Arabidopsis thaliana: one gene and its partners. The protein of the gene in region 3 interacts with the protein of the main gene of each other region in a pairwise test. Each region holds a gene or a part of one and is shown on either strand. Other genes may lie near its edges.

Region 1 (6,452 bases), on a different chromosome or scaffold from region 3:
TAGCCAATTGCTCAAACTCAGAAGATAGAGGCTTTTCCCAAGTTAAAGTACCCAAAGCACTAGAAAGTCCAGCATACTTTTTCCCATTAGGTGATGCTTCCGTGTATTTTCTGATTACATCCTGAAAACAAAAGAAATTGCCTTCAAAGCTCATAACATAATCTAGGGTCAAAACCAATGACAGTATATTATTACCTGAGTCTGTGAACTCATCTGGTCCACCAGGAGCTCTGAGATAAAAACTCTCGGTAAAGGACCGTTAACGCCGCTGCCACCAGGAACAGCAGAAGCATTAGGAGGTGCAAACCACAAAGCTCTAAGCTTTTTGGCCGGAAATTTTAGCTCATCCATCGGTGTATATCCATAGTCAAGGAAAAAGCTTGCAAGCGAGTCAATCCCATAACCACCAATCTAAAACATTTCCATAGACAAATTCCAATAATGAGCAACTTAACATTGTCAAAATGGTTACAACTTTGAAGCAGCCAAAAATGTTTATACCCCAAACGTTCTGAAAGCGAGATGATCATAGCAAAGTTGCTGGTCATCAACAGATCGAACAAGCTCCAAGACGGATTTAGGCGTCGGGTTTCGATTTAGGTAAACAGTTTCCATCTGCCCTAAGACACTCCTGAAGAAAGATTCAGCAGCAACCTGGCCAAGTGTAAAAAACGAGAGACGAGACAATTAGATGATAATGGCAAGTTATCAACTTGAGCAGGCAAATTAATTGCACCCACATGCCAAAGAATCAAAACATCAACAATTGACAAGAACAGAGTTTTCAGATCTTTCATGACCTAAATCAATCGAGGGTATATACACCATACAAGAAATATACAAAAGGACGAACCTTTGAAGACGATCCGCGAGAAACATTGTTTGATGACATCGAGGAGTCTCTTCCAGAGGAAACGACGACGGAGAGATTGCGCTTGCCGACGGAAGGAAGCCGAATAAGAGATCCAGCAGAGAAGGAAACAGAGAGTGTTGATCGTAACGAAGAAGGGAAAGAGCCGTAGAGAGAGGCTTTAATGGCTGATGAGTGGAGTGAGATCATGGTGGAGATAAGGAGGAGATGGTTGGTTTTGTCGCCGGAAAGCTTTTGATAGTGAGAAAGCTCCGATCATGTATTTTGATTTATGGAGATTCCGTGCTCTTCTGTTTCTCTCATAAGAGATTCGTGTCGTGTCAGATAGTACTATTTCATCCGATGAGACGTGGCGATATTATCAATGGGGTTATCTTTAATTTGTTTGATAATTAAAGCTGAAATTCTATCATTGGATGATTTGTAGTTTGTTGCTGATTTTCAGAAGAAGAAACTACAGGTACAAGAGTTGAATCTCCAATGACCTTAAATACGATAATTAGAGTTGAAATTAGATTTTTGATGAGTGAACTTAGTCTCCATCCATAGGTGCGTCGCCGTTTAATTCATTTTCCAAGTGCAAGGTAACAATGCAGGTTTGATTCGTTGGGCTTTTTCAGCAATTGTCCTACTTTGGATGGACAATATGATGGGCTTTTCATATTATTTGGGCGTTTTGGTGTAAGGTTTCCTAGTGGGCTACTATATGATCTAAAAAGGAATTTGAGAAAGCACTAGCAGTAATACCGATAAGCTCGAACGTTAATTTGGAGGTGTAGAACTTATATACAAAGTTAGATTTTCCAACACTTTACACACGATCAAAAGACAAACACGAAAAAAACTGTACGATATCTACCATTAACTACATAAGATCTTGAGATTTAAGTTAAACATTGTTTGAAGAATAATTGACTCTAAGGGAAAGTATGCCAAACAAGTTTTATCCGAAAAGATTCAAATTTGGTCACCAATCTATTAATATCTTAGCTTCATATTCGTCTAGTCCGGTGAAAGGATATGGAATCCGTGAAATTCGGTGGTGGAAGGATAAGGTATCCGTGCCTTAGGGTTTATAATAGTCATTAATATGTACATACATTCTTATGCTAATGACGTAATTTTATAAAAATTTACGGTAGCTTTGAATATTCATATGAGAAAAACGTGGTAGTTGATATGTAGTTTGGTCCCGACAGCGGATGAGTAGATTTCGATTCATACACATGTGGTGAACCCTTTTTTAGCCTTAAGACCCCACCAATTCGACAAAGACTTGCCATATACGTTCGCTCCTCTTCATGTAATCTTAAAGATATTTTTGCATCTCTTTTCTTTTTTATGTCAATAAGATATTTTCATTTCAATATGACAAAAGTTGTAAAAGTCGATAATGATATCTCAAAACTACGAATAATAATAACAGAAAATAGACACAACAAAGGTTGGAGATATTTTTCTCCAGATATTTTTGCCCCTTTTAAGTCTCTCTTTTCACGAACCGACCCTACAAATAATTCAAAAGATTTCCATTGCAAGAGAAATATAAAGTTAGGCCTCACAATATTAATTGGTGTCATGAAACTAAATGAGTAAAGGCTAGAGTGTAGAAAGAAGAAGGAATAAGAAAGAGACCTTAAAACGAGGTCGTTTATCTGCGTTGAGTTTTCGGACTTGGTACCTTATCTTCTTAGAGAAGAGCCTACTCTGTCTTTTCTCTTTGTACCTTAACACACTTGCTTCTCTTCGCATGTTTCTCTTCTCCTCTATCACTGGCACTTCTCCCCTCTGCATACACTCTAAATCATTAATATTGACTAATCAAGATTAATCACTACTCATAACTTGCACAACAAGAAAGAGATTCATAAAAACTAACATAAACGGAATTGTCCAGAGTTGAAGTATCTGTCCACAGAGGTTTCTGGTGATCAGACCAAGCATCGATAACTTCTTGATGGTTCAGATTCAGCTTCAGACCCAAGTCTTTGTCTTCATAATCCGTCGGCTTATTCTCCCAAAACCCAAAACTTGAGCCTTCTTGATCAGTACTCGATCTTTTTTCTTCTTCCCCTACATCTTCATCTTCGTCTTCTTCCCAGAAATCCCACGTGAGTTCGTTAGAGCAGCTTAAATTGTCAATGGTGATGTCGAAAATGCTCTCGAAATCATCTATAGAATGATTGTGTTGGTCTCGAGAGTGACCATTGATGGACTCGAAGGTTGAAGAAAGTAGATGATCTTCTTCTTCTTCTTCTTCTTTCTTCGGCAACCTTTGTGTATCCATATATCTCTTATCTTTTTCTCTGTTTTGTTTTCCCTTCACTCCAATATTTTTTTTTTCTTTGTAAATCCGTCACCATACGAAAACTATATATAGATACAAATACAATATTTAGAGAGCAAGGTGTTTCTTTAATACTTTAATATGTGATGTAACTGATACGATGTGGCATCTTATCCCAAAAGTGATGGAATAATCTCAAGCTGATTGGTTTAGAGAGTCCAGCTTGGACCCAATTTGAGGGACCTCTCTTACTGGTCCTTTGCCTCTAACCAGAGACCATTTAGCCACTTTTTTCATCTTTATACTAATAGCCGAGTCCTAGCGTCATTGGGGCTAGGAAAGAGCTATAACAGTATAAAATTTCCCTGTTCTTCTTCAGAATTCATTTTCTTGTATTCAAAGTATCTTAAGTTAAGAAGAGAATAAGATTCTTACATCTTGATGAAGAGGAATGGGAAGCCGAAATCTAAACTGAAACAGAGGCGTCACCCAATTATCAATTGGTAAGTGATATCTATGTTTCGATCTGTATCTCGGCCTTTCACTCCTCTTCTTCTTGATGTAAGAATTTGTTATTCGACACATTAGATGGAGTGAAAAATCTGTTAGATATTTATATACATGATAAAAAAAGTTGTGATGGAAGGAAATGATAATAGGTATGTTTCCACCAATAGATGAATATGTAGAAAATTAGCAAATGACAGCTATTAAAATTTGACACTTTGACACATATTACATAGACATGATAAAATAAGAAAAGTATATAACTTTTTTTTATATCCTTAAAAGAAAATGTATCTATACCGCTAATTATATATTTTATAATTAATTACACATTAACACATGTTGAATTACAAGATTTGTATACATTGAATATGCATTGTAAATCACAAAAATGATTAGAAGGAAAAGAAAACACAAGTTGACCAAAACTAAAAATAGGAAGATGATGATGACATATCTTGGTTTAACAATTACAAAGAAAATATCTCAGAAAACAATTGTCTACTTGTGATAGCATAGACATGAGCCACATGATATATACTACTAAAAAGAGAAATTATGTGGCAATCTATTTATTAGATTTTGAACGGTTGAAGTTTAGACAATTTTGAAAATAACATTTTGATTTTCAAATTTATAGAGTTGTTTAATAATACAAATTGATTAACCTTTTGCTATTTTCATAATGCAAACGTAAGAACAAAAACTAGTTTTCGTACTTTTCAAGAAAAAAACTGAATGGAAACTTTTCAGAAGGTGGTGATACTGATGTGGTAAAATTTCGAATTTTGATAACCAAAAGCTAAAACAGAAACAATCTTTATGGGAAATGTGTCTGGTGAAATGATTTGGATTTTGCTCATAAAAGGCATCAATGAGGTTAAGCTTCTTCTATTCTTCTATGAGAAAAAAAAATGATCTTCAGTAACATCTAAGTTGTAATGTTAGCGAAAGCTGACCTGTTTTTCAATGAACATGAAGCAGCAAAGTTTGTAGCATCAGTTGCATCAAAGTTCAAACACAGCGCACATCTGGTTCTAGATTTCGATTCATCCGAATACTACGGAGATCTTGCAACATTCTTTCGTTACGCTTCTTGATTCCTTCTCTGAACAGATTGCTACCTGTGCAGTCTGGATTTTTAGTGGGTAGAGTCTGTCTGGATTGTATTCTGTGTTCCTTGCTTCTCAAGTACCCTGCACCTTGTGCCTGAACTGTTTGTGATTCGAAAATTACTCAGACCAATCAGATACATTCTAACAGACACTCTGTTAAAATTGGTCGAGTCAGTTTTATATCCTTTATGATGGATCCAAACAATAGTTGGTAGAGTCAGTTTATAAATCATCAATCTTTCCAACCAGTAGATTTCCAAGATTCTATCAAACTCAATGGATTCTCCCATACATAACAGTCACACTACATTGAAGGCATTGAACGGTGGGAATAAAACGAGTAATTTAAGACCAATACTTTAGATAGAGACGAAGAAAGCAATCAAAATGTAGTCAGAAGTCTGTTACAAACAGCAAACTTTAAAGAAGACACGATATAAATGAAAATACCTGAATGTGAAGATGTTAACGAGGCAGCTGAATCCCTTAGTCTCCTTACTTTCTCAGCAGCATCCAAAATGTCAGAATTATCTTCTGATTTTGGTTCAATAAGACTATCCTTCTTAAGGCTCAACAGGGCATTTTCAGACGCCTACGTAAAAACTCATCAAAATGTCATACCTCATAGTAAGAACAAGTCAAAATCAAAAGAAGCAAAGAACCTATCTGATCTGTACTTCCATGTGGGAACAGAAAAATGTAACAAATAACAAATTGCTATGTATCCAAAAAATTGAATAAATTGGTAAAGCAACAATTCCGATCATACAAGCATGAACTTGTTAACACAATTACAAAGTAAACTCACTTTCCAAGAAACATGTACAGAATCTCTAACCATTCCTCTTATGTGAATTTCTCCAACCATTCCCAAAAGCAACGAGATCATATACTACAGAAGGAAGAGTAATTTACCTTTCCTGCAATGGAAGGGAATCCATTTTCCATAGATTGGACTGCAAATTTGGTCCATTCTGAATGTGAAACCCCTAACCACAAACAGCTAGGAGACTTGAGCTGCCGCAAATTCAATGCCTCATACCTCATAGCCAAACAACTCTACTCAACATATAACAACCATATATACATACATTACAGAAAAGTTGAGTAAAGTGCACAAATCCATCTGCAAATCTTCACTCATAATCGAACAAGAAGCTGAAAGATAATTTCGAATTTATTCAAAATCGACAAGGACAGTATACGAACCTCCATATCACCGAGAAGAGCAAAAGCACGAGCGAAGAATTCAAGTACGGAGAGTTTTGCGACCATGGATTCTCCGGTGAGCTCACCGAATATAACAACCGATTCAGATCTCATGAAATCTCTCAATCGAGATCTAACTTCCAAAAACGATTTCACATTCATTGCAACCAGAGACAACTCGAGAATCCGAAGAGATTCTTCATCGAACCTGCACAATCAGTGAGAAGAAACCCTGTTCTAGCCACACACACAAGAGAAATTGAGAATCAGATGCTTCGGATGGATTGAAGAACCTTCTGTCTTGGACCCGATTGATAAAGAGATAAGTCTGATCAGCGATCATCGAATCTGAACATTTTTTCCAGAGAGAAATTTGAGCGGTGTTTCGAATTTTCAATGTGCCCTTTGATTTGAATTTTATGTTATGGCGCATCTTAATTGTTAATTTTGACGGCGCATTATA
Region 2 (7,434 bases), on a different chromosome or scaffold from region 3:
GTTGACAGTATTACATGAGATTCAAGGGATATTAAACTTAACACCTATCTTTACTGTGACTTACAAGATCTTTAAATCTGAAAAATATATACCTTTGATGATAATCGCTCGTCCCAATATGTGTATTTCACATCCTTGAGTTTTTCGGTCTTACGAAGTTCCTCAATGAAAAGATTCACAGTGACAACCTGTTCCAAGTTTAAAAATCCTTTTCGGTTATATGAGCTAATGTAGAGGAAAAGTACTTCACAATTCAGTCGAAACAAAAAAAAAAACTTACATCCTCTACATTGTTCAGTTTGCCAAATGGATAACCAACGACTAATCCCGACACAGAAAATGCTTTGACCTGCATAAGACAACAAAAGGCAAATGATTGATGTAATCAAACAGAGTTCATAAGTCTACTTGTTGATAGATCTCTACTACGTCAAGGACTTAACAGTAAACACTAACTGAATAAACCTTGATCCTTTAATCACCAGTAAGGCAGTAATCACAAAAAGCCGAGGGTGAAAGTAGACACTAATCTACTACACTAACAAACTTTCTTCTTCATTACCAAAACAAACGATAGTTTCTTCATTCCTTATCTTAGTAAACACTAATCTACACTAGCAACCTTTTTTCTTTGTTTTAAAAAACACTAAGAAATGATAGTTTCTCCATTTCTTAACAAGAACTAAAATCTGTGTATTTGTTTAAGGTCTCCTTTAAATCTAGAGCTAAAAAGTAAAGGAACGATCAAACTTATAGCACCTACCAGGTTCTGGAAATCTGTAGCCATCAGGTCAATGTTTGATTTCTTTCTGAGCAAAACACTGCAAGAGAAGTAACAGGTTTTCAATAGCGATGATGGTGACAAAATTGATCAGAGAGGATTTGCATTTTTGAAAATTACTGTTAAACAAATGTTGTAGCATGTAGACACTGAATCAAAGGTACCTCAATGGAGAAGCAACCATATTTGAAGGATCTGAGATAGCTAATCCAACATACTTATCACCAACATCTAAACCCAGAAACCGACCAGGGACTGACACTTTGGTCTTCAGCGCATTACCCAATAAGCTCAATGGCTTCACATACTTCATTTCCTGATCAAAAGTAAGTGAATCAAACTTCCAAAACACTTGTTCAAATCAAGACTAAAAATTCACATATCAATTGCATAAATTTGAGAATTATTGTACAAAAAAAACTTTAATCAGACCATCAAACAAACATTTCGAAAAAGGGTTTTAGAAATTAATCAGAAAGTTTAAATCTTGACGTACTTTAAAGGCGGAAACTTTCTGGCTCCGGAGCACGGAATCTGGCGAGAGGAAACGACAAATGGTTCTGCTAAATGTCTTCGCGATTGAAGCAAGCAAGCACAAACCCCAAGATTGTGAATTAGAGATGGACCGGAAAAGGTTTATTCCGGTTAAGTTCGAGACTTCACCGTCTAATCAATCTATACGATGCCGGTGATTATCAGGGTTTTGGTTTTACATTATACCGGGAACCGGTTAATTCGAGGTGGTTTAACTGGTTTCCCAAAATTGATTCGGTTTAGCTTAAGTGAAAAGCTCAAGTAACCACCTCTCCTGTACTTACTTGCAGGCAGAGGATCATATTAGTTTCATTGCTTATACAAAATTGTCAAGCTTTAAACATAAATATAATAGCAGAGTAAGGAACAAAACAATTCCAAAAGCAGAACTCACAATTCCAAAAGAAGACAAATTCAAAGATTATTTTCTGCAGAAAATAAAGATTCAAAGAGCACAAACCAAAAAGATTACAAACACTTTTCTTTAATGAAAAACTTGAGTAGAGATTCCCATCTGATGAAGAACACTTGACGTCGAAGAAGCTGACCTCAAAGCCTCAGCTAATGGTCCTCCCATATTGTTGTGGTGATTCCCTCCATTGCTCCACCAATTCATTTGCTCCCTCTCATTGTTGTTATTTCTCATGTTCTCTTCTTCTTCTTCATTGCCTGTGGAAAGTTTTAGAGAAACATCTGAGGACGTGTTGTTACCGGGCATGGAGATTGAAAGATGACAAGTGGATGAGCTCATTGGACTGGAGGTAGAGTCTGATGATCGTGGCCAATCGTCAAAGAAATGCCTCAAGATGTGACCATCGTCTGATCTTCCATTGCTGAATCCACTGTTAGCTTCATATGGCCTCTTGTTGTTGTTGCTTTCTTGTTTCATCTCTGAAGAACAACTGTGACAGAGAGGAATAAACATAAACATAAACATTGTCAACAAAAAGATCCAACATTTGAACAATAATAAGTAGACTGATCAATTCAACAAAATGGTTAGAGAAATAATTTAATCAGTCAAATGTGTGTGTTAATAAGAGGAAGTGGTTGCAGAATCTGAGAGCTTTATTTTGTTTGGCTTCTATGCAGGTTTGGTCAGCTTTCACTGAGGTCCTACCATGTCATTATTTCAAATACAACATAAGTATACATATCTCTTTAACTTTCTCTCTCTTTTCTATTTCTATGATTGAAAAGTCTCACCCAACTAGTAAATAAAATTAGATTCTATCAAATCCAACTGTTATCATTATCTCTCAACAAAAGAAAGAATAATGTTTTTATCACAAAGTATGTATGATAAGTCTCTCTTGTCACCCTATTGCCAACATTACCCCTTTCTTCACAGCATTACTTCACAGTGAAATCACTATTTCCCTAACAACAATATTTGTAATTAACCAAATCTACTAATGACTTTAATTAAACAGAGTGTTTGTGTTTTTTTATTGTACCTTTGTTGATGACTAAGGTGGAGAGGTTGAGATGAACCAGAGGAGAAGAAGTGGTTGTTGTTTGGTCCATGACCAAGCTCCTCACCTAAGACAAAAGAAGATGCGGTTGTTGTGGCTGTCGTTGTGATGGTGGTTGTGGCGGTTTCCACAGGCTTTCTTGAACGGTTTCTTCCACGGTGAATGTGGCGGTCACAATACTTGTGGCCCGCTACAACATCCCTTGAACATCTCCATTTCTTGCCGTCAGTTCTCTTACACCTCCCTGGCTCAGGATCCATTGCTCCTCTTCCCCAATACCCTGTTTTTTATTAAGTGTGTGTTGTTCATTAGTAACAACAAACATAAATCTCACTCAAGACATTGGTTACGAAATGTACTTGTCTGATTCTATCTATGTTGCTAATAGATCTTCTAGAAATAGGCTTATCATACACATAGGGTTTTAACTCCTTGCAAGGTTGCAGAGCAGCCTTATACTTATTTTAGATCTTGGAAATATAACTCCAACACCAAAACAAAGGGAATCTTTTTTACAAAGAAAGACTATTTCAAGGATAAGAGAAGCATAAACAATAGAGAGGAGAGAGAGACTGACAAGAAGGTTGGTGATGAGGAAAACTATGTTGAAGAGGATGGTGAAGGAAATGCATAGGAGATTGATGGAGGAGACTTTTCTTAATAGGTAAGAGAAGCTCTTGAGGAACAGAAGCACCAGCCAACATGTATCTATAGATCAGTGCTTGTAGCTCAAGTTCTTGCCACTGTGCCCAGCTGAAGAAGTTTCCCATCTCTACATATATATGTAACATAGAAACGTCAGATTAAATATCAGCAAAAACAACTTCAACATTAGAGTGAATAAGTCTTGTCCTTTTAAAACAACTTACTGAGGAACCTGGAAGAAGAAGAAGAATTAGAAGAGTCAGGAGAGAAGCAAGAGAAAGAAGAGGAAGAAGTGGGTTCAGGGACAAAGAGAGGAAGAGGAGCCGCAGCAGCAGAAGTAGCAGTTTGGGACTGAATCTGATCAAAGAAAAAGTTTGATATCTTAGTTGCAGCAGAGCCTTGTTCTTCTGACTCATTCTGCTGCTGACTTCTCCATTGTTTCAGTTGCAAGTCCATGGAACAAAGAGAGAGTGAGTGAGAGAGAGAGAAAGAGAGACAGACAGAGAAATGTGTTGGTTGCTTTTGGGATAGTTTTTTTACCCTCACTTCTTTTGTTTTTAGAGAGTCTGGCTTAATAAGCAAAGACAACCACAACAAAAGTCTTATTTGTTTGGCTTGTCATGTAAATACCCAAAATAAAAAACTTTTTCTTCTTCACTCTTTTGTTAGAGAGAGCTAGAGAAAAGTGTTTAGACTATGAGACAAGACAGTTGATAGGATAAACAAAATTAGTATATAATATTTGATTGATAGGTTTAATAAATTGTTACTTTATGTGATATAAAAATTATGTAAGTCAGAAAACAAAGAGAGAAAGCACTGCAAGATGCAGATGGAGAGATAGTAACCTGCAGTGTTTATGTCTCACTGCCTTGGAAATATCACTTCCTTTTTTTACCTCATTTTAATATTCCTTAAGTAGGTTAAAGAGATGCCTATTATGATATTGTTATTATGTTTTTTTATTAAGGATTCATTTAATGTGATGTAGAGTAACCTTCAATTTTTGTCTTACAGATGTCATTTGTCTCAGAGATTGTGTTACAAATGTATGAGATTCTAACTTCTAAGCATGATTAATCATTTGGGTTTTGACTAAATAGTCTCCATTTGCAGAGAGCTACAATACAATCTCAGCTCTATTTACTCTCTTTGGTTAGTAAGTTTTCCAAATACTTTACCATTTTAGTGGTTTAACCATATTTGTCTTTTAATTTGTAACCGTCATTACTTTTCTCATCTGTTACAATATTATTGTTACTCATAAAATATTATGTAACGTCTGTGTTTGTTTGATTTATTAAAAAAAAATTATAACTTCCTTATATAAATGTAGAAATGGACATTTATCTTTGTGTTATCTTAAAAAGACATGGCTAGCTAGTAGTATATGTACATATCTAAACACATCGAAAGGAGGGAATCATATTATTACCAGAAAAGGCCAAGTAAACTTGGAAACATTTGTTAAAATGAAGTTAGAAACATTTATTTGATATCTTCACTTGGCTGAATAATACAAAAGACATTTATGATTTTCAAAGTATCTTTATTTGGTGGTGCCAAAACAAAAAACGATAGCATTATTTTGTAGTTTTGAGGAAATAAAGTAATAAATATGAGAAGGACGATAACGATATTTCATGTAGGAGTGAGCCACAACCAAAGACTATGATGACTATTGAGAGAGTTTCTTGAGTTTTCTTTTCATTCATTCCCACCAGTTTCGGCGGCATTTATATTTGCACTAAGAAAAATATAAGAAAAACTCAATTCCTTAAGTACAGTTCAATGTTATGTACACTTCATTTGCTGTAAATCTTGTGAACCAAATAAAAAAGAAGAGGAATATCATAACATAACACCCAAAATAAACTTTGTTTTCAAAATATACCATAGGTTCTTTTTGACTTTGTAAAATTTTCCTTTTTGAAAAACAAAAATCTTTGTAACAAGTATAAAGCGGCAACTGAATTTAATAAACATTTTACGTTTTTTTTTTTAGAATAGAAAAAATATTTCGCAAATGGCCTAAACAAAATATTAGCCTCTAAAATAGAAATATTTTTTGTTGATACTTGATAGTATAATGGATCTTGTGCACTAATGATGGGTCTTAACTAATAAAGTAATAATGGATCCTGTGCACTAATATTTTGGGCCAGAACTTGTCATATACCAAAGATAATGATATCGAAGGAAAACAAACTGAAAGCAAAGTGTGAACGTAATGACATATTGTATGTCTTTTTTCAATCATGAACACGAACAAAGATTACATGCAGATGCAGTAATACTAATGGTAACAAAACAACCAAACAAATGTTGATTATCTAGACTAACTTTATATATATCTTGTTTAAACTTTAACCTACATGGTTATTAGGTTATACATGGTAAATGCATTAGTTTAAATTACCATACTACATACATTTTTATATGTTGCTCATGTTCCAATTGTTTCGTAAAACCAAATAAAATGACAGAAAATATATAGTATTATTCAGTGGACAAGGGTTGGGTCACGTGCTAAGATTAAGACCAGATGAGATCAGAAGAGGGCCCGGCCCAAACTCTCCACCTACTCACATAGATTTGAAAATCACGGGAGCTGATCCGAACCGAGCCGAGCTGGAGTAAAGATGGAGCCGGACAACGAAATCATAATCTGAGGAGGCTCTCTCTTTAGTTTCCGACGAGGGCACAGACTGTGGGTCTCACTATGTAATGTGAGATACCAAATATATTCTTTTCACTTTTTGACCAAAAGTTACCGTCTGTTTACGCACTATGCCATTTACGTTCACTTACGATGGGCCGTAAATAAAAAGCCTAGTCACGCTAGCACGCGAGGCCTCACGTGCCTTAATTATTTTCTTAATGGGCTTCGTATATTCCTTTAGGAATGATTCTTATGGGCTTCTTAAACTCTACGTTTAGCAGTACACCAACAAAAACCGAAATAAGCAAACCTCTTAGCAGACCTCTAATTTCTTAATGTGCTTATTATATTCAATTTGGAATGATTCTTGTGGCCTTCTTTAACTCTATGTTTAACACCAACAAAAATGTTGTAAGACTTGATGTATAATTTGACCAATATTTTAGTTTCAACATTATTTTGATTCTCCTAGTCAGTTGATATTCGATTATAAGCAGAGAAGACACATGATCTAAAGTCTAAACCAAAAAAAGTCAAGTTAATTAGAAGATGATAATAAAACCTTCATTTTGACCCACTCTTTATTGTAAACATGCTACAATATATGTTATTGAAACCATTAGTCATATCGATTGACAAAATACAACATATGCAATACTATACAAGAAATAACATAAATGTGACGGCAAACGTAGAATAAATTAATTTGAAGAACATGAGAGTCGTTACCATTCCTCGAGGATCTGCTTTTAGGCCCACTGTTGGATTGACCCTACCATGAGATATCTCGACGATTCTCAATCCAAGCCGTACATTTGTATGAGTGTTACGACGAATTTATGTTTGGTCCCCTATCGCCACCGGTTCTTCTCTGTAGCACTAACGATCAATCATCATGCCTTTTGTTTTAGGTAATCATCTATATGCTTTTATTTGGAAATCATTTTTGTTATGTTATTCTATTTTAATTCAGTACTCAATATGAAAATTTCCAATCTGTAAAGTTGTTTTTTATTGACCTCGCTCACAATATATCCATGAATACTTTGTATTGAGAATTCATTTTGTCATATGAATATGGATATACTCACTGCAACTCTATCTGTAACAATGTGAAAACAGGTGTAAATAAAGGAATTTCCATAGTTAGAATAGATTGAGATAGTATATTTTAGCGGCCTATAATGATTTCATAAGCTTTTTGTTCTCTTAAATGTCTTTTATTTTTGTTTGCATCTTTGAAGCTGTCTCGGGAGTAAGTAGAAAGATAATAAATGCTGCTCATATATATGATTGGGCAGCTATGGTTGGCATTTTGCCTTTTGAAATTCAGTAAA
Region 3 (7,683 bases):
GACGATGCTGGTGAGGAATATGCGGTGGCTGATGAGGACGGTGAGGCTGAGGTTTAGGAGGCGGAGGAGTGAAGAGGTTGAAGAGATCCGAACAAAACAAGAATATAGGTAGACCTAACAAGATCAATTGTGCTCTGTCCATGGCGGATATTTAGATCTCTCGATTAATTCACAGTGAAGCGCGAGAGAGAGAGACGAGGGAAGAAGTAGTGTAAAGCGAATCGGAGAAGACGGAACGAGAGAGTTCAATAAGACTTGTTTGGATGCTGGAATATTATTATCCTGCTCATTGTTGTTGACGTCTTATATTTTGAAATATTTGCTTAAATACCCCTGTATTTATATTTTATTGCACTTACACCCCCGCTTGAATGAATAGAAGTAACATAAAGCCCACTGAAAAGTATCAAAACGGCCCAAATATTTGATCCGCAACTATTTTTTCTTGTTGACTCGGTTCAAGAACTAAAAAGAACAAAAGTGACAGAGGTTTGTTATAAAAAAGCGGCACCGGACGACATGAATTTCTCCGGGAATTGACTTGTCAAAACGCGTGCAGTGCACAGCGTCTCAACTGTTGTCTATTGCTTTCTCAATCACAAAAAGTACAACAAAAAAAGCTGATTTACATTTTGTTTTTGACTGAGAATGTTAGTTCAAATTCTAGATCCCGCTCTGAGTTTGTTCACACTTTTTGTTTTGCTCTCCATCATCACTCAACCGAAAAAAAAAAGTAAAGACAAAAGTTATTTTCCTTATGCGTTACTTCTCCGTTAGTTTCGAAACACTGACACTATAGACCATGAAGATGAAGTCATCGCCTTCTCCGGCTAGTTCTCTCTCACTCGGCTCGAAGACTCGGTCATTCGGCTGTATCTCTATCATTCTTCAAAGATTTCTCTGTTCCGGCACCTCTTCTACCTACCCATCTGATCTAATTACTGAACCCAGTTTCAAGTCTCGTGATTTCATCCCCGAGCCACTCAGAGGCAGAGGAGATGGGCCAGGAGCTGTGGCGAGGCTCATGGGTTTGGACTCAATTCCCGTGATCGACAAAACCAGATTTCTCTCAAGGAGCCATTCAGTGAATCATTTGAAGAGGGACGACGATGAGATTCAGGGAAAGCATAGAAGAGTTAAGTCCACTCTTGAGTATGTTGAGCTTGAAGATGATGATTTCTTCATTCTCAGTTTCGAGAAGGATAAAAATGATAAGGAGCTGGGAACTAGAAATTGTAAGAAGAGGAGAGATACTAGAGAGAACCAGAGCAAAACAGAGGATCAAACACACCTAGAGGGTAAAGAGAACAACATCAATGCCATGAACGTTTCACCAGGACGTGAGAGGCTTGAGATTGGAGAACTGATGCAGCGTAGAAAGGAGAAACGTAAGAGCAGAAGAAAACGAAAAGAAACTAAGTTGAGACAGAACATCGAGAAGGAGAATTGGGTCCAAAGTAATGGTTGTTGGTCCAAAGAAGAAGATTTAGTAAATTGTGAAGTGAGATCAACAAAAGAAGAAGAAGAGTGTGGAAGCTGCGATGATTCGAGCCCTGTCTCGGTTCTTGATTATGACCGGTATGCTGGTGTTCGAGTAACTCCATCACCAGGTTGGTAATTCTTCAGTATTGAAAATTGAAATGTCCTTTCTTGTGTTATTAAAGCATACTTGTTTCCTTGTAACAGGAAACATTTCAAGAAGACGGTTGTCTTCAGAACTTGAATCTAGTAAGCTCAATGAAACGATTGAACAAGATCACATCACATTGACAAGTAGATCAAAAGACCAAGAAATCCGACTTCATGGCTACCAAGAGATGTGGCTCATGATCTGCAAACTCACTGTATCTGACCTTGAAGGTTCAGATTGGTTTAACGGAAAAGCTTTAAAGCTCGAAGATATAGAAGGAATCATAAGCGAAGATATAGTCTCAAACATCTTAGATCAACTCTTAGAAGAAACAATTACAACACTTTCCCTAACTTCACAAGTGTAAATACATTTCTGTATTCCAATTATATTATTACTAAAAAACATATATATTCAGCGTGAGAGTGTTACCAAGAAAAAAAAAAATCGATTACTCATTGTGAATAGTAAAGAATCAAGGAAGTGAGGTGAGGTAATTCAAGGTTTCTTAGGTTTTGAAACCTTTTTTCACCTCTGTTTTTCTTTGGAGACAGAGAGAGAGACAAACGAACTCTCTTTTGTCCCCTAAGAATTTTTTCTTTTTATTCTAAAGAAAAATAACAAAGCATTAAACAAATAAAATGAAATAGATTAGCATCGACCTCTCGGAATCTTTCTGACTTTGCTTCTTGTGGAACGGTTAATGAAAGTTCAAAACTTTTGATTCAAGCCACGGTCTGTTCTGTCTCCATGTATGATTGCTCCATCCAAACCGGAGCTAGTCTTGTCTCCTGTGGCTCTTTCACCAGCGGCTCCACCCATGAGACATCTGGCTCTTCGAGCCCAGTCCCTTCGTTAGGCAGTCTTGATTCCATGCCACCGGCTCTGAGACGGAAAGAAGTGGATTTTCTGAGCTTCTGTAGCTCGTCTCCTTGGACGCTCCAGTCAAGCTTCCCATCCAATGAGCCCCAATCGTTTAAACAAGTTGTAGTCATGGAAGAGATTGCGGGATGGTGATTCAGTCCGTTGTTGCGTTCTATGAAGCTTTGGCTTCGCTGTTTAGCAAATTCAGCCGCTCTTGAAGCCAAGACTGCGGAGGAATCCATCGAAAACAGAGAATTGGCTCCCACAGGTGATGAAGAAAGACTGTTGGAATGCAGCTGCGGGTTAATGACGCTGCGTCGGATCTGCAAACCCGATGTATTATCCTCTGTCCCAAACATATCACTGAGACTATTCACCGGGCTCATTGCTCCTCCTGCAAGCCTGTTCATGCCCTTTCCGGAGAATGGAGATGACATTGGCGTGTTGTTCCATGTAGTTGGAGAAGTAAGACTTTGCATCTCTTCAGAGAAATCGATTTCTCTTGCATTCAATGCAGATTTCAATCTGCTCCCTGGAAGCTGCAATGCAGGAGGGGTTATGTTAGGCCAGTTCATCCACGTTTTTCCTCCACCTATTGGAGAGGATACACCGTTAGGACTCAAAGGAGGTGTGGTTGTTGCTCCGATAGGAAGCGGACTAATCGGTCCCATGTCGAAAGCGGTCGAGGAATTGCAAGATGAGAAGGAAGACCGCGGGGACGGAACACCTGATCCAGTTGAAGGGTACAAAGGACGCAGCTCCTCGGGTTTGTGGGCAAAGAAACAAACTCTTCTCGAGCAATTCGTCTCGTCCTTGCAGAGACGAGTCCGGTACTGAGCCGGGTGAAGCCAGCACTCAAAGATACCATGAGCATACTCGCAAGTATCACCTCTGGAACAAGACCCCTTCCGGAATTCAGGACAAGGGACACAACTATAATGGTACTTCCTCGGATCACGCCTCCTTGCGTTCTCACCCGGATGAACAAAGGGACATTCCGTCCAGTCGTGAGAGTATGCTCTAGAGCACGGCTTGATCTTGAAAGCATACATCCGGAACTCATCCGTCCCATATACACCGTTCTTGATATCAGGAAGCGTTGGATCAACCGGATACTCCTTCCTCTCAGACCCCCGAGGAGGCGAAACCTCAACCTCAACCTCAACCTCTGGCTCGCTTTCTTCTTGCCCATTAACTTCATTCAAATCATCATTTCCTTTCAACAAACGCTCCAAAACCTTCATCCTCGCGCTAAAAACCGGACTCAAACAAGGGAAAATCACATCTCCAGGCTTGTTACCATAAGCATCACAAGAATCCGGATTCGCAGAGCCCTTCAGCAGAAGAGTAACAATCTCAAGGCTATTGGCAGACAAGCCAGAGACCGCACAGTGAAGAGCCGTGGCACCATCAGAGCCACAAGAGCGGTTCACGTCAACAAGACCAGTACTAATGATGTAATCAACAACCTCTTTGCTTCCAAACAAGGCAGCAATCATAAGAGGCGTCCTCTCCTCAAAACCCATCTTCTTTGATCCTAATCTCCTCCCATACCACAAACCAGAGCCATCAATGCTCTCAAGACCTTCTTCTTCAACTAGAGACTTAAAACCGGACAAATCATTGCAGGCTGATGATTCTAGCAGAAGAGAGAATTTGAGGTGAGACAGCTCATCAACTCCCATGGCAAAAAAAAGCAACAATCTTTTCCCGCTCTATTGATTTCACTGCAAAAAAAATTGCAGAACAAATTGAAAAGGATGAATCTTTTTTCTTCTGATTAAAATGGTAATATACATAGAACAAAATCATACAAAACAGAAATAAAAACTGCAGAAACGATTAAGCTAAGGAGAGAAGGAAGAGTTTGTTAGTTTGGGATACAAAGTTTCCAACTTTAAAACAAACCAAACCAAAAATAAACACCAACAGATCCATAATTAACCACTTTTGCAACATCGAAAACTAATCATATTGTTAACTCATTTTCCAATCAGCAAAACAATTAAAAACAAACTGCAAACTCTAAAACAAATCGACATATATGGATTCAACTGAAACTAAATTAGTGACTAATCAAATCAAAGAAACAAAGAGTAAAGATTTTCTACCTCTGAGTCACAGAGACAAACTCTCTCTTTTCTCGACCACCACTACCAAAAAACCGCTCTTCACTTCCTTTAAACGAGTACTCAATTAGTCAATTTATTGAAAAAACAAATCCGAATTTTTTTTCTTCTTCCTCAAATTATGTTTTTTTTCTTCTTCTTCCTCTCCTTGTCACTTTCTTCTTAAGGTCAAAATAATAGAAGTTTTTAAAAAAATGAAGAAGCTTACTCTAAATAATAAAACAAAACCACCATCTCCATCATTCTTCTTCTACTTCTCTCTCGTCTTTTTTATTTCTATTTATTTATTTTACTTTCAATTTTAATTTGTAAAGTCTGAAGGAAATGAAGGTGTACGTTAGACTTCACACAGAGGATCTTCGCTCATCGGTTTTGTCACGCTTCACGCGTTTTTCCGGTTTTTGGTGGGATGACGTGGAAACCATGCATCGTCAGCATGTTTTTAAAATGAGCTACTTACTTTTCTTCTCCATTCACGAGCTAAAGATAAAACCACTGCCTGTTACCTAGAGTTATATAACCAATTAACCATAGCTTTTTAATTGGTTTGTCACCGCCCCAGAATAATCTCAACATGCACCAAAACACAGAATCGGAACCGTCTCGAGTGGGTTTCGCTTGATAGCAACTCTCTTTTGTCATAGCTTTGATTTGAGTTATATTCATCAAAATTAATTATCATAAAGTTTAAAGATAATTGAGATAATTATTATAAAGTCGAGAAATTGACGTTTATGTTCAGTTTTTTTCGGTCGACAATTCCAACAAAAAGACGATTAGGTAATACAAATATCCTAAGAGACTAAAATAATGTGTATTTAAATTCGGTAATGGAAAGAATTCGAACAAACCTTACCAAACTTTGTATTTTCTGTCGCTATGCTTGTATTATTATATTAAAAGATAGTGATTCGTGATCCATGACAATGTTGTACTACTATATAAAAGTAGTCATAAATTGCAAATGTATAATAATATTTTTTTGAAAACGACTACTGTTTTGTATTGCAACCAGACCAAATCCAAATGCATGCAACCGAACCCATCAATGCTTTTTGCAGCGGCATTAACGAAGCTGCTCCACTGGCTCTCTCTCACATCATAACACAAAGCCATTTATTTTCTCTTCTTCTAATTTACAGTTCTAATAAATAAGTAAAGTCATAATATTAATATGATAGTGCAAATACTGTATATATACACGACAAATTATTAATTTTTAGATAATTATATCCTGTTTCTTAACATAAACACTGTTGATTCCCAATGTCAAATCAATATTTAAAAATTTGTTATAAGTCAGTCACTCAAAAGACAATGGTATGAAAAATGCTGAAAACAGACGGTCAAGATCTTGTATTCACGATGAGATATATTGTTAGGTTAATTTTGATATAAAGCGAAATAAAAAGGGAAAAAAGGTAGAAAAGTCTAAGTGTACAATTAGGAAAAGGACCCACAAGAATCCATAATCTGACTAGAATGAATGGAATAAGAAGCATGTGGGACCAACTGAAAGCGACTAAGCATTGCTATTTGCTATTTTATCAGCCGACGTCGCTGCGACAAAACCCCAAATGGCAGAGCCTTATTGGACAGACCATATTGACTTTTATGGTCCTAAATGCAGTGAATTATCTCTCTTCGACTTGGCGCCAAGCACTTCTGGGCCAGAAATACCGATGCGGGGCTATACGAGGATAATGATCTGTTTCAAAGCCCATAATTAAAGACCTAGGTTTGGCCCATTAGTCTATCTTCTTGATTTAAAAGAAGGAAGCCAATTTCTTCTTCATGGACGTAAATAAAAAGAACTGGTAACTAATGAGATAGTATCTTACTATCTTCACAAGTAAAAGTCATATGGTGAATCCGAAGAAAGAATGTCGTATTCATGAGCTATATCTGAGAAGAGTGAAAAACAGAGTCAAAGTCAAAGAGTGATGAGCAAGCTTTAATAGTACGAAAGTAGAAGAAATAAAGAAATAAGAGGGTGAAATGGGTAAATTTTGGATTTTTAATTAGGAAATAGTGCAAATTGACCAAAATTAAAAATCTCCACTCTTTTCGCGTGTATCAACCAAAAAACAACATCAATGTCCTTTAGTTTTAATTAATCTCGCTGTTTAATTGGGATTAGACTAAAAAAGTTGCAGAGACTAGTACAGCGTTACTTGGGGAGAAAGCTGCTACTCACACAAGTACCTCCCAAATCTCTTCTCTTACCCACAAAAATCTTCTCTTCAATATTCTCCAAGCTCTATCGGAACACTGCGTTTTTTGTTTTTGTTTTCCCTCCAAATTTCTCACTCGAAGCTTTTAATGCCAGCGGCGGAGGAAGAAGAGCCGATATTCGGCTGGAACAGCACCGGTAGACGAAATCTCCGCCGGAAAAAGCTTCTCGACGGTGATAAGATAGAGGTCGCTTGTTGTTTTCCCCCCTGACTATTTCCTTTCCACCATGGGTCTTTTTGATTGTAGGGTTTATAGGGTTTTTCATTTTCTCAACCTTTTGAGCAATTTCGGATTTTTTTCAAGGTTTGAGTTTCATCGTGGAGTGTAATTGATGGATTCAACTTTTGTAAAAGCTACATTGTCTGTTTCTCCATTATAATCACTTTTGGTTCTCTGTAGCTTTTTGTTTAGCTTTTGAGATGTTAAAAGTTTAGTAGTTTCCATTTTTAGTGCAAACTTATATGTTGCTTTTAATGTTGCTTCGTCTTCTAATCCTGGAAAAGTATTTGTGTTGCTTGTTTAGGTAAGGAGTCTTGAAGAGGGGTCTCTGGGTTCTTGGTATTTAGGAACTGTAACTTCAGCTAAAAAGCGACGTCGGCGTTGTATCAGATATGACAACATTCTCTCTGATGATGGTTCTGGTAATCTTGTGGAAACTGTTGATGTTTCTGATATAGTAGAAGGGTTGGATGATTGCACTGATGTTTCTGATACTTTCCGTGGACGTTTAAGACCTGTGCCGCCAAAGCTGGATGTTGCTAAACTGAACCTTGCGTATGGGCTCTGCGTCGATGTGTTTTTCAGTGATGCTTGGTGGGAAGGTGT

Evidence for each region. Proteins that work in one complex are often made in the same cells at the same time.
Region 1: the proteins of AT5G58620 (region 3) and AT1G07050 interact in a two-hybrid assay, tested with the Arabidopsis thaliana proteins (one large-scale study listed by BioGRID).
Region 2: the proteins of AT5G58620 (region 3) and GRF4 interact in a two-hybrid assay, tested with the Arabidopsis thaliana proteins (one large-scale study listed by BioGRID).

What each region holds. Positions count from the first base shown.
Region 1 is NC_003070.9:2,161,976-2,168,427, forward strand, and holds AT1G07050 (CCT motif family protein), read right to left. Parts: upstream 3,287-6,452; 5' UTR 3,159-3,286; coding exon 2,751-3,158; intron 2,660-2,750; coding exon 2,471-2,659; 3' UTR 2,379-2,470; coding exon of another isoform or gene 2,352-2,378; 3' UTR 1,600-2,351; downstream 1-1,599. Other genes in the region: AT1G07040 (plant/protein), read right to left, coding at 1-121, 196-411, 502-654, 854-1,060; DFO (uncharacterized protein), read right to left, coding at 4,680-4,879, 5,231-5,372, 5,696-5,839, 5,990-6,197, 6,283-6,422.
Region 2 is NC_003074.8:19,614,378-19,621,811, forward strand, and holds GRF4 (growth-regulating factor 4), read right to left. Parts: upstream 4,131-7,434; 5' UTR 3,892-4,130; coding exon 3,660-3,891; intron 3,563-3,659; coding exon 3,368-3,562; intron 3,071-3,367; coding exon 2,773-3,070; intron 2,218-2,772; coding exon 1,800-2,217; 3' UTR 1,600-1,799; downstream 1-1,599. Other genes in the region: AT3G52905 (Polynucleotidyl transferase, ribonuclease H-like superfamily protein), read right to left, coding at 93-188, 281-349, 764-821, 946-1,094. UniProt on the Arabidopsis thaliana protein: Transcription activator that plays a role in the regulation of cell expansion in leaf and cotyledons tissues.
Region 3 is NC_003076.8:23,690,455-23,698,137, reverse strand, and holds AT5G58620 (zinc finger (CCCH-type) family protein), read right to left. Parts: upstream 4,880-7,683; 5' UTR 4,606-4,879; intron 4,222-4,605; 5' UTR 4,180-4,221; coding exon 2,356-4,179; 3' UTR 1,998-2,355; downstream 1-1,997. Other genes in the region: AT5G58640 (Selenoprotein, Rdx type), read right to left, coding at 1-142; TRM31 (uncharacterized protein), read left to right, coding at 803-1,610, 1,687-1,997; AT5G58610 (PHD finger transcription factor), read left to right, coding at 6,946-7,044, 7,382-7,683.